3 linked regions of the Pelodiscus sinensis genome follow. The protein of the gene in region 3 purifies or fractionates together with the protein of the main gene of each other region. This does not show direct contact. Links are inferred from orthologs where the notes say so. Each region holds a gene or a part of one and is shown on either strand. Other genes may lie near its edges. The genes, in order: NIPSNAP2, EMC1 and KLHL22.

What was found.
Region 1: the proteins of KLHL22 (region 3) and NIPSNAP2 purify together in Homo sapiens (co-immunoprecipitation; 3 studies listed by BioGRID and IntAct, counting the BioPlex papers as one, with this or other methods). This does not show direct contact. The link is inferred for Pelodiscus sinensis from reciprocal best matches to the Homo sapiens genes KLHL22 and NIPSNAP2.
Region 2: the proteins of KLHL22 (region 3) and EMC1 purify together in Homo sapiens (co-immunoprecipitation; 3 studies listed by BioGRID and IntAct, with this or other methods). This does not show direct contact. The link is inferred for Pelodiscus sinensis from reciprocal best matches to the Homo sapiens genes KLHL22 and EMC1.

The regions. Positions count from the first base shown.
Region 1 is NC_134731.1:20,287,382-20,291,126, forward strand, and holds the start of NIPSNAP2 (protein NipSnap homolog 2), read right to left. Parts: upstream 2,742-3,745; 5' UTR 2,675-2,741; coding exon 2,577-2,674; intron 1-2,576. UniProt on the Homo sapiens protein: Protein involved in mitophagy by facilitating recruitment of the autophagy machinery required for clearance of damaged mitochondria.
Region 2 is NC_134733.1:7,467,960-7,471,704, forward strand, and holds the start of EMC1 (ER membrane protein complex subunit 1), read right to left. Parts: upstream 2,112-3,745; 5' UTR 2,041-2,111; coding exon 1,952-2,040; intron 1-1,951. Other genes in the region: MRTO4 (mRNA turnover protein 4 homolog), read left to right, coding at 2,364-2,391, 3,236-3,294. UniProt on the Homo sapiens protein: Part of the endoplasmic reticulum membrane protein complex (EMC) that enables the energy-independent insertion into endoplasmic reticulum membranes of newly synthesized membrane proteins.
Region 3 is NC_134725.1:6,512,992-6,516,736, forward strand, and holds the start of KLHL22 (kelch-like protein 22), read right to left. Parts: upstream 2,908-3,745; 5' UTR 2,769-2,907; intron 2,406-2,768; exon of another isoform or gene 2,382-2,405; intron 2,008-2,381; 5' UTR 1,955-2,007; coding exon 1,728-1,954; intron 376-1,727; exon of another isoform or gene 249-375; intron 8-248; coding exon 1-7. UniProt on the Homo sapiens protein: Substrate-specific adapter of a BCR (BTB-CUL3-RBX1) E3 ubiquitin ligase complex required for chromosome alignment and localization of PLK1 at kinetochores.

The sequences.
Region 1 (3,745 bases), on a different chromosome or scaffold from region 3:
ATTGCATGATACTTTTAATCCAAGAACTTCAAAGAACTTTAAGAACATGGATTAATAAAGTGTTACTATACACTTGCTAAGGAGCATTCGCAACATTTTATTCTACTCTAATCTTTTTATTAGTTCAGAAACATTCCCTACAGTAGAACTTAAGTGCTTTATACATCTCATTTGGAAGAATACTCCAGTCTAACACAGTGGTTCCCAACCTTTTTTATGCTGCAGACCAGCAAACCCATTCACAAACTTTTTTCATTATGCAAATAATGAATATGCAAATAAAATATTACCTGTCCACTGATCTCCAACCCAGCCCCTTGCTCCCCAGTGCTTAACACCCTTTAATCCCTTAACCTCTGACCCCTACAACCCATGCCAATACCCTCTTGCCTTGTAACACCACCATGCCCTCACCCAACACCCCTTTGATCTTTGCCCCCATGCCCACCTATCGAGCATTGCTATTACTGCTGCGTAGGCAGGGAGAGCGGCCGTTGCCAGTGCATGCTCTCCCTCCTCCTTCACGCCCTCTCCCTCCCCAAGTGCACCTTGCGCCCCCATGGGTAGAATGGGGGGAGGGGGGTGCAGAGCTCTGGCCGGCTGCCATTACCAAAGGTGTTGGGGGACACCCTCTGTTCTGCCTCCTGAGCCCCAGCAAAAGTTGGCAAAAGCAGCTGCGCAGGCAGGGGAAGCGGCCGCTGGTTGTGCACATGCTCCCTCCTCCTTTGTACCCCCTCTTCCCCCCCAAGCAGGGAGGGGGGAGGAAGAAGGAGGAAGGGAGGCTCCTCCAGTTCCGCCTCAGCCACCATGGCTGCTCCGGCACCTGTGCTGGTCCATGGACCAGCAATTGGGAACCACTGGTCTACGGACTGGCAATTGGGAACCACTGGACTAACAGACTCTTAGATTCCAAGACCAGAAAAGACCACTGTGATGATCTAATCTGAGATCCTGTATAACAGAGGCCACAGAACTCTCTCAAAATAATTCCTAGATTTCTTGTAGAAAAACATCAAATTTTTATCTAAGAATTAGAGGGGTAGCCGTGTTAGTCTGAATCTGCAAAAGCGGCGAGGAGTCCTGTGGCACCTTAGAGACTAACTGAAGTGTAGGAGCATAAGCTTTCGTGGATCTTTGCCAACAAAAGCTTATGCTCCTACACTTCAGTTAGTCTCTAAGGTGCCACAGGACTCCTCGCTGCTATCTAAGAATTGTCAGTGATAAAGAATCCACCATGACCCTTAGTAAATTGTTCCAGTTGTTACTCTAATGGTAAAACATTTATACCTTATTTCCAGCCTGACCCTTACTGTTTGGGAATGTATCTAAATTGTAAAAACTAAATTGTAACACAGGGTAAGAAAATGTTACATCATAGATAAAGGATAGGTATATGGGGTTTCCAACAGCATAATATTTTTGGTTTTCTGGGAGCCATGTTTCTCACAGCATTACAGGCAACCTATCACGGAATCATTTTCAATCCTTTTCTTTAAGGCACAGCCTGACTTTACTGGTTATGGTCCCAATCCCACAAATTTAGAGTACTTAGAGAAACGCATGTGTGTGTTGGCAGGAACTAGACCTACAACTGCATCTGCTACGTAAACAATTGTTCTATATACAATTGTACATCCAGACTGGGTTGTAAAGAGAAAAAGTGATCAGCCAATGTGTGTACATATTTCAAACTGTTAGTGACTCTTGTAGAGAAAGAAAGAAAGAAAGAAAGAAAGAAAGAAAGAAAGAAAGAAAGAAAGAAAGATCATTGATGCCCAAGATTTCAATGGGACACTATTACTTTAAAACAATTCAACAAAACACATTTCCTTATTTTGGAAGCATCATTGGTACCCTGTTACTGAAAGGAAAATTGAAATTTTTAAAAAGCAAAGTTTAGTTTTCACTGTTTTGCTTCTGGCATTACCCTTATATTAAAAAATAATAAAAGACTAATCAGTTTCTAATCAATTTCACCTTTCTGTTCTCATATACTACCTCAGTGCTACAGCAGGCAGCTGAAAATATTGATTTAAATGGGATTCAAGACACAGGGACATATTACCATCCACCAAGTTTTCTTTTAGTCCACAACCTAGATTCAATGTTAGGACAAATCCTAACTAGCTGCCCTGATGGCGTTTCCCCGGAAAGAGAAAATGCTGAACGGAGCAGTCACTGCAATCCAGCCGACAGGCTTTGATTCCTGTTCTAAACACACATGAAAGCTGGGGCACGTACAACATAACCCAGGCTGCACGGGTCCATTCCAGCCGGGCTCAGCGGGGCGGGTCCCCCGGGGGCGTTGGGGCAGCGGGGCCCTGGCGCAGATGGCGGGAGGCCTGCGCTGCAGGGGGTCGAACGCAGGCTGCGGGGGGAGCCCCCAGTGCGGGCGGGGTACGAGGACAATGCGGGGGGGCTGCCCGCGGGCGGCCCCTGGGGGCGCGGCGAGGCCCATGACCTTGAGGGAGACCCCGGGCGAGGGGCGCTTACTCGGGGCTGAGACTTTCCCGCCCCCGCCCCCGCGGCTCCACTTACAGCCCGCGAGGGCCGGGCCCCGGGGCTGCCGCGCTCACCTGAGGGCCAGGCCGCCGCGGGCCGGGAGGCGAGGCCCGGCCCTGCCCAGCCCGCCGGCTCCCCCCAGGCTCCGCCGCAGCAGCACTCGGGTCGCCATCTTGCTCCGGCCTCTCAGTCCAGCGCGCCCCGGCCTGGGCGAAGGAGACGAGCCTGCAGTACCCGCCGGCGGCCACCAGGGGGCCTGGCACTGCGAGGGGGAGCAGCCCCCTCCCACCCGACTCTTAACCCCTTGGCTGCCGGGCTCGGCCCCCGCGTGCCTGCGGGTCCAGCCCACATCCCACGAGCCAGGCACCTGCGCCGTCAGGCGGCGGAGGGGAGCCCCATTTGCACCTGCACATCTCTTAAAACCTATTTTAACCCACCCACTGCAAGTCCCTGGAGGCTGATGCCACTGCCTGTCTTCCTCTCTTGGGGATAAAGCTACCAGTGTGTGTCTCTTTCTCTCCCCCTCACAGGGTAATAATTCTGTGTCCTCATCAACGTGTCAGGGAAGAAATATTTACCTGCATAGAGACCCAGGGCTGCCCTCAGCTCTGCCACTACTAGCTGCCAGCCTTGGCAAGCCCTTTCACCTTTCTTTGCTAGTTTTCTCCTCTGTAAAATAAGGGCAATACTTTGCCTATGCTCAACTGCTTATGTGTTTGTAATCACAGGGCCTAAGGTTTTACATGCTATCATTAGTTACCATGGTCTCTAGTCTGTAAGACAAAAAACACAACTGTGTGTACTATGAAAGCTTACAGTGTAATTGTTGGCTGCTCTTTACACTGTTGTTCCTTTCATGGAATGTGTGAGAACTCTGAACATGAAATATGTGTACATCTATCTGTAACTTGTTACCACTCCAACAACTTACTGGAAATTAGAATGCTTTTTTTTCCCTGGTGTGCTCCTGTTGGAAACCCTGTAGGTGCAGATATTAACATACAAACTTGTTCTAGTAATATACTGAAGTAACTGGCAAAACTCACTGTCATTTTCAGTGATCAAAACAATATTGGTTTGACTTGGTAGTCAATGACAATTTCTTTTTTTTCCTCCTGGAGAAGAGAACCAGAATTGGAATATATCTTCAGTGTGAAGTTAAGACATCTGTATAAGATGATTTGGAATTAACACACACTGCAGAGAGACACATGTAAACTTGAATATAAAGTGAATGTATTCC
Region 2 (3,745 bases), on a different chromosome or scaffold from region 3:
CAACCCGGCAGCACCCCAGCTGCTCTGCCCTAGGCGTCCTGATTCAGCCACTGCTGGTCAGTTTCAGCAGCGGCTGAATCAGGACGCCTGGGACAGAGCAGCTTGGGTGCTGCTGGGTTTGTCCAGTAGCACCGAGGAGCGGCGCTACTGGAGCAACCCAGCAGCACCCAAGCTGCTCTGCCCCGGGCGTCCCCAAGTCAGCCGCTGCTGAAACTGACCAGCGCTGACTACAGGAAGCCCGAGGCAGAGTTGCTCTGCCCCGGGCTTCCTGGAATCAGCCGCTGATCAGTTTCAGCAGCAGCTGACTTGGGGACGCCTGCGGTTCTTAAGTTGAATCTGTATGTAAGAACTGGCGTCCAGATTCAGCCTGTTGAAACTGATCAGCGGCTGATTCCAGGAAGCCCGGGGTAGAGCAACTCTGCCTCGGGCTTCCTGTAGTCAGCCGCTGGTCAGTTTCAGCAGCGGCTGAATCTGGATGCCAGTTCCGACTTACATACAGATTCAACTTAAGAACAAACCTACAGTCCCTATCTTGTACGTAACCCGGGGACTGCCTGTATATTAATTAATAATAAATGAAAAAAATGAACGGTTGCATTGCAGTATAACCAGTCTCATTCTTGCATTTTCATTAAATACTTTCAAAGCATACGGCAATTGGTACATTCCTACGTCTCTAGGTTGAAAGCCGCTGTTGTTCCAAGGTCGTTTTCCCCCTCCCCAGTGAGACGGAAAGCAGACTCCCTCAGCGAAAGGCAGGCAGGGAGCGGTTTTGCAGGGCACAGGGCTGTCAATCCGAGGCAGCAGTAGGGCAAATAGCTGGTCCATAAAGCACTTTTCCGGACCAGCCCCCAACAGATGTTTCAATAGCTGGGGCTCCCCCCCCCCACGGCCGGCCCCCTACAGATGTTTCCATAGCTGGGGCTCCCCCCCCCCACGGCCGGCCCCCTACAGATGTTTCAATGGCTGGGGCTCCCCCCCCCCACGGCCAACCCCCTACAGATGTTTCGATGGCTGGGGCTCCCCCCCCCCACGGCCGGCCCCCTACAGATGTTTCAATGGCTGGGGCTCCACCACCCCCCCACGGCCGGCCCCCTACAGATGTTTCAATGGCTGGGGCTCCCCCCCCCACGACCGGCCCCCTACAGATATTTCAATGGCTGGGGCTCCCCCCCCCCCACGGCCGGCCCCTTACAGATGTTTCAATGGCTGGGGCTCCCCCCCCACGGCCAGCCCCCTACAGATGTTTCAATGGCTGGGGCTCCCCCCCCCCACGGCCAGCCCCCTACAGATGTTTCAATGGCTGGGGCTCCCCCCCCCACGGCCAGCCCCCTACAGATGTTTCAATGGCTGGGGCTCCCCCCCCCCACGGCCAGCCCCCTACAGATGTTTCAATGGCTGGGGCTCCCCCCCCCACGGCCAGCCCCCTACAGATGTTTCAATAGCTGGGGCTCCCCCCCCCACGGCCGGCCCCCTACAGATGTTTCAATGGCTGGGGCTCCCCCCCCCACGGCCAGCCCCCTACAGATGTTTCGATGGCTGGGGCTCCCCCCCCAACGGCCGGCCCCCTACAGATGTTTCAATGGCTGGGGGTCCCCCCCCCACGGCCGGCCGGGCAATGCGCGTGCAGCAAATCTGCACCCCAGAGGGCATCTCCCCCCCGCAGACACCAGCGCCCGTGACAGCCTCGCGGGGCCAGGCTCGGGCTCCTCCTTCGCTTCGGGGGGGGGGGGGCAGGAGAGGCCCGGGCACAGCCTCGGAACAGCGGGGGGAGGGAGGAGCGGGGCAGCCCACCCAGAGCTGGGGGGGGGGGTGCACACGTCAGTATCCAGGGCTTGGAGCGATGTCAGCCCCCCCCCCCCGGCTGATGGGGGTGGACGGAGCCAGTGAACAGGGTCCGGCGCTGCTGATGGGGGGGGGGGAAATACCCGGATGTGGCCCCAGCACCCACCAGTCGAACTTGCCCACTTGATCCTCATAGACGGCGGCCGCCAGCGGGGCCAGCAGCAGCAGCAGCCAGGGCCAGGCAGCGGCCGTCATGGTCCGAGCCGGAAGCCCTATCCCGACAGGCAGCGCGCCCGCTCCGCCGAGCCGCAGCGGGGCGGGGCCTCGTCTACTGCGGGCTGCCCTTCTCGGAGCCTGCGTGGAGGGGAAAGAGAGTCCCTCGAGTGGAGGGGGCGGGGGAGGCGCGCGGGGAGAGGCTTCTTCTCGGAAAGGCCCGCGCTGGGCCGGCTGCAGCGGGAGGGACCATCCCGCGAAGGCAGCTCTGGTCAGGCACCTCCTCGGGCACCTCCGGGGGCTTCCTATCCCGGCAGCCCTCGCGGCGCAGGGGGGTCCTCGCGGCGCTCAGCAACGTGCGAGCCATGCCTAAATCCAAGCGGGACAAGAAGAGTGAGTGACCCCCCTTCCCCGCCAGGGGTCCCGCCAGCGCCGCCCCCTCCTGGATGGGGGCCTTGCCCTGCTCAGGCGGGGGGGCTCTGGGGGCGGCCTGGGCCGCTCGCGTCTCGGTGCCACCGTCCCTGTCCCGCTGAGGGGGTTGTTCGGTGGGTGTGGGTCTGATGGTTCATGCGGGGGGGGGAGGTCAGGCAGGCGAGGCTGGGTTGATTGGCCTGGCAATTAGAGAACCACTCCAGCAGCCTCTAAAGCGGTTTCCCTTCTAGTTACGAGTTTCTTAGAGGGATGTAAAATCCCAGTTAATCAATTAAGGGGGCAGCAGGTGGGGAGGAGGGCGGGGGGGGGGGGGCTGTGCTCCAACCTGGCTGGGATGGAGAGGCACCCCTGCCTTCAGAGCATGTGAGCCCGCTGCAAAGGCTGCAGTGGGCCTCATGGGGCTGGAGCATCCCCCTGCCTGTGGCAGTTGGGGAGCTACTCCAGTCCCTACACAATAACCGGAACCAGTAAGTATCATCCATTAAGGGTGATGGTTACTGGTTAACCTTTCACATCCCTAGTTTCTTATCTCCTACCAAGAGTGTTGCAAATATGTGGGGACACTCTGTTGCGTATCACTGGTTTGTAGAGCAGGGTTGCAAGAACTAAACATAACCCTGATCCTACACTGTGCAGGGCTAGAGGGTTGCACACGGTGTTCTAAGAGTAAATCAGAAGTCTCCTGAGTTAATTAAAGTTGATGTCCGTATTGTATTTGGCAGCCACGCTTCTGTGCTTTTTATCTGTACTTTCCCTAAAGGGTGCCTGACCTACAGATAACAGCAACTCCTCTTCTTCCTTTTAGTTTCCCTAACAAAAACCCCAAAGAAAGGCTTAGAAGTCAAACAGAGCTTAATAGAAGAGGTAAGTAAGAGCATATATCTTAAGGTACTGAGCTTAGTTTTCCATTCTGTATTGAATCTATAGAATCTCTTCCTGTGAGGATCTTAATGTATTTTACACAGACTAAGTCTCACAGTATGCTTTACGGATGTGAGGAAACTGATGCACACAGAGGCAATTTGACTAGACTCCAGCAACAGAAAAGAAAGTTTGAGAATGGTCCACTGTTGCCAGATAAATTCATTATTAATCTGATTCTTTTTTAAAAGTTATACTGCATATAACAAAACTACCTCACAATTTAAGCTGAGTGCCAGGAGGGTCATAAAATTGACCAATTACATTATAGAAGTTTCTCAGTCTATTCGTGTATTGGCTTCTACCAGGGTCAGGATGTTGCATGAATTGTGCAGAGCAGTTTGGCAACTCCTGTATTTGTATCATAATATATAACATTTATTTTAATGTAAAA
Region 3 (3,745 bases):
CATGCCTCTGTAGAAAGAAAAAGATACAGACGACACTGGAGACGTGCCAAAGCTATGTACAGTTCAACCCATCTTAGCCATACTGTTCTGGGGTCACCCAAAAGAGTCAGACAGACAACTGGACAGACAGCTTTGCAAAGCCTCCATGTCTGTTGCCAAATCCAGTTCTCCAGGAATTATGCCAGGCAGTACAGTTTTCAAACTGGAAACCCAGAGCAGAGCCTTTTCAGAATGCAGTGAAGACACACCAGCCAGCTAGTTCTGAAGATCCAGAAGGCAGTCAAGCTTTGGATAACCAGCTGTACACCTATTCTCCTTGTGCATCCTTGCATTAGTTTAACCTATAAATGGCTTCCTCATACATCACTGGGCACCCTGGAAAGCATAAAAATCTCCCTCATTAAATGAATTAAAATGAATAAAAGCAATATAGACTTCTGCATCCCACAACGGGGTCGTTGTCTTTAAAAGATGTTAGGGCTCATGTTATAAGCCCTTGTTTTAAAGAAGTTTAAAACATATGTGGAAGTGTGCTAGCCTGGTGACAGTGCTTTAATGCTACAAGTATAAGAGGGGTCGCCGTGTTAGTCTGAATCTGCAAAAGCGGCGAGGAGTCCTGTGGCACTTTATAGACTAACTGAAGTGTTGGAGCATAAGCTTTTGTGGGCAAAGACGAAATTTCCACTACCTGCATCTGACGAAGTGGGTCTTTGCCCATGAAAGCTTATTCTCCAGCACTTCATTTAGTCTATAAGGTGCCACAGGACTCCTCGCCGTTAAAGCTACAAAGGACTTATTGATTCAGATGCCCTTGCGTTCTCATCCAGAGAGGGCTGGAGTGATAGGGAAGTGAATGCACTGAGTTCAGAGGTGAACAAGCCCATTAAGTGTCTACATTGCAGGTCTGACAGACTTTGACACGTTGAAGACCAATCCCGCCTCCCATCCACAAAGTCCTCAGGCACGTGCCTGTATGTTCTCAGCACGTGCGCTTGGTGGCTCATCCAGGGATACAGGTATAAGCTTGTCTCACTGTACCATATTTCTACCCTCCCACTTTGTGTTGAAGACAGAGCTAAGAGTTTGCGTAGCTAGGTTCATGCTGAGACAGTCCATCAAAGCTGTCCCACAATTTCTGGGGCCTGTGTGTGCTGGTTTTTCTAATTCCCAAGCCCCTACTCACCTCAAGCAACCCCAGCTTCCAGAGATGTGAAATTTGTCAATGCACGGATGGTATAGACAAGGCATGGGCATGCATAACACTACAGCGCATACGCGTATCAGCAAGATGGACAAACACAGCCTCACAGGCAGAGGTGCCCAGACACAGTTATATTATGCAGCGTAGGCATACTCTGAGCTGCTAGGAGGAGAAAGGAGTGACTTACATCGTTCAATTGCAACCTACCCACAGCTGAGTGGACGGGGTCCCTAAGGAAGACCCATGCAATCCCTGTTTGGAATGATAATGGCTGTTATGTCAGGCTTTATGGACTGAACAACTAGGCGTTGTTTTACTCTTTGAGTACAAAGAAACCGATTTGCTCTAGATGTGATCAGAGCTGAAATCTGGGAGTGTGTGTTTTGGACCAGTGTGACCTTACTCCAGACTTGGGGAAGCATGGGGAGTCCCAAGGGCGAAAAGACAGAAGTCCAGCCAGGATTCAGAAGGTTTGAGTCATGGAGAAAGATGCTGGTTAAAGATTAACCAGTGACATGGCACATACCTGAAATAGTCACACGATGCAGCCAGAAGTATCCGATGAGCTTCAATGGGTTTCCCTTCCACTACCAGGACTACATCAAACAGGATGCCACTATCTCGGAGGGAGACCAAGCCGCTGAGTAAGGACTGGGAATGCTGTGCACTGCGGTACGTGTGGCTGCTGCATTGCTGGAGGGAGGTCTCCCAGGGAGTCTTGCATGTCTGAGTCAGCTCCTGATCTTCTGCCATCACCAGTAGAAATGTTCAGAACCTCACAGCCACCAGTTACAGCAAGATGAGTTCTGAGACCACAGAAATAGCCAAAGTTTGCGTGTGCTGATTCCCTCGCAGCATTTTAACTCTTACCGCACTGAACAAGCGGGTCCGCTCAGTGGCGGTACCACGCCGTTTGCAAACCTATTCCATGACTGCTTTGAGAGGCCCTGGGGAGCACGGCCTCTGTTAGTTTTTCACACCCCTTGAGAAGAGGTTTAAATAGAAACCGGGAGCAGTTCTCACATTACCATACGCACTTTCCCCTGGAGGTACCATCTCGTGGCTGCTGGAGAGGAGCCACATGCACGCGGATGTAACTGGCGCTGCTGCCACCCTCCCAGACCTGCCTCCTGCCGTTTCTTTCCCCTGCAGGCGGCTGAGGGAGCGAGCCGCGTCTCACCACAGCCTCAGGCGCGGCCAGACGCCTCCTGGTGCCTGCTGTGGGAGCCTAACCCGGCCATGCCCGGCGGCGCGCTGGGGGCCCGGCCTGACTTTCTTTCTTTTTGGTTGTTCCGCAAGGAGCCCGCTGACTCGCCCCTTTAACGCGGGGCCCGAACCCGCCTGCGGCCGCGGGGGCGCGTGTAAAGCGGGGGGGGGGGGGGGGCAGAACCGGCGGGAAGCGGCTCCTCCCCTGCAGCCCCCCCCCCCAGCGGGGCCGGCCGCTCTCCCGCCGCGGGGGGGGGCGGCACCGGGCCTGTCAGTCACTCGCGGGGCCAGCACTGGGGGGGCGGGGCGCCGTTATCCCGGGGGGGGGGGGGCGCCCCTCCCCCCGCAGCGCTGCGCTCACCTGCCGGCAGCGGCGACCCCGAGCCTCCGCCTGCCCCAGCGCCCGCCGCCCGCTTCCGGGTTCGCCCGCACCATCGAGTCGGGCCAGAGCGCCCTTCCCACGTGACCGAACGGAGCGCGCGCTCCCCCCCCCCCACTTAAAGGGACCCGCCCCCCTGGCGCGTGTCGTGTCTTTCGAACGCGTGTGGGGCGGGTGCGGCGCCCCCTGCAGGAGGGGCCAGGGCCTGGTCTGTGCACAGCCGGGTCCAGCCCTTCCGCCCCCAGGCCCTGCGGGGACCCGGTGCATGGTCCGGCAGGGAGCGCCTTGGAGCGCCTCCCTCCGCAGCGCCCCGTATGCCGGCAGCTCCCTTTATCCACCCGCGAGGCCGCTCCGAGCCCCCGGAATTCTACCAGGAACGCCTCCCGACCTGGAAGCGCTGGCCGGCCACCTGGTCCGTTGTGGCCGCCCAGGGAGCAGACCTCCTCACGGAGCCCCTGCTCCACAATCCCGCCTTGTGCGTGCAGGTGTGGGGTCTCCCACGGTGCGCCGGAGACTGAGCCTGGCAGAAACCACCATGGTCAGAGACCTCCTGGACTACGACAGGGGGGACGGGGTGGAGCCCTGAGTGCTCGCTCGGTGCATGGGGCTTTCCACCCTCTGAACCCCCCCTGCGCATACTCCAGGAGGTGGAGGCGGCTTTGTGGCGGCCCGCTCTCAACCTTCTGCAGCGGTCCCTGCGAGAGGGTATGCCCCGTCCCTCCTGCAAAGCCTCCGCCCCTTTTATTGGGCCCCTGTTCCGCGCCCCCCCCCCCCCCCCAGCATCTCCACCCCTGGACTCCCAGCCGGCTGCAAAATCTGTAGCCGGTCTGTTTTCGGACCGCGCCTAGGGAACAGCTGTACACATTCGTGCTGCACACTCTGCATTTCCCCACCCTCGTGTCCCGCCCCGATACCAAGTGGCAGGACTATCTAAGATCCGTTGAGGGTGGGGGATCCCG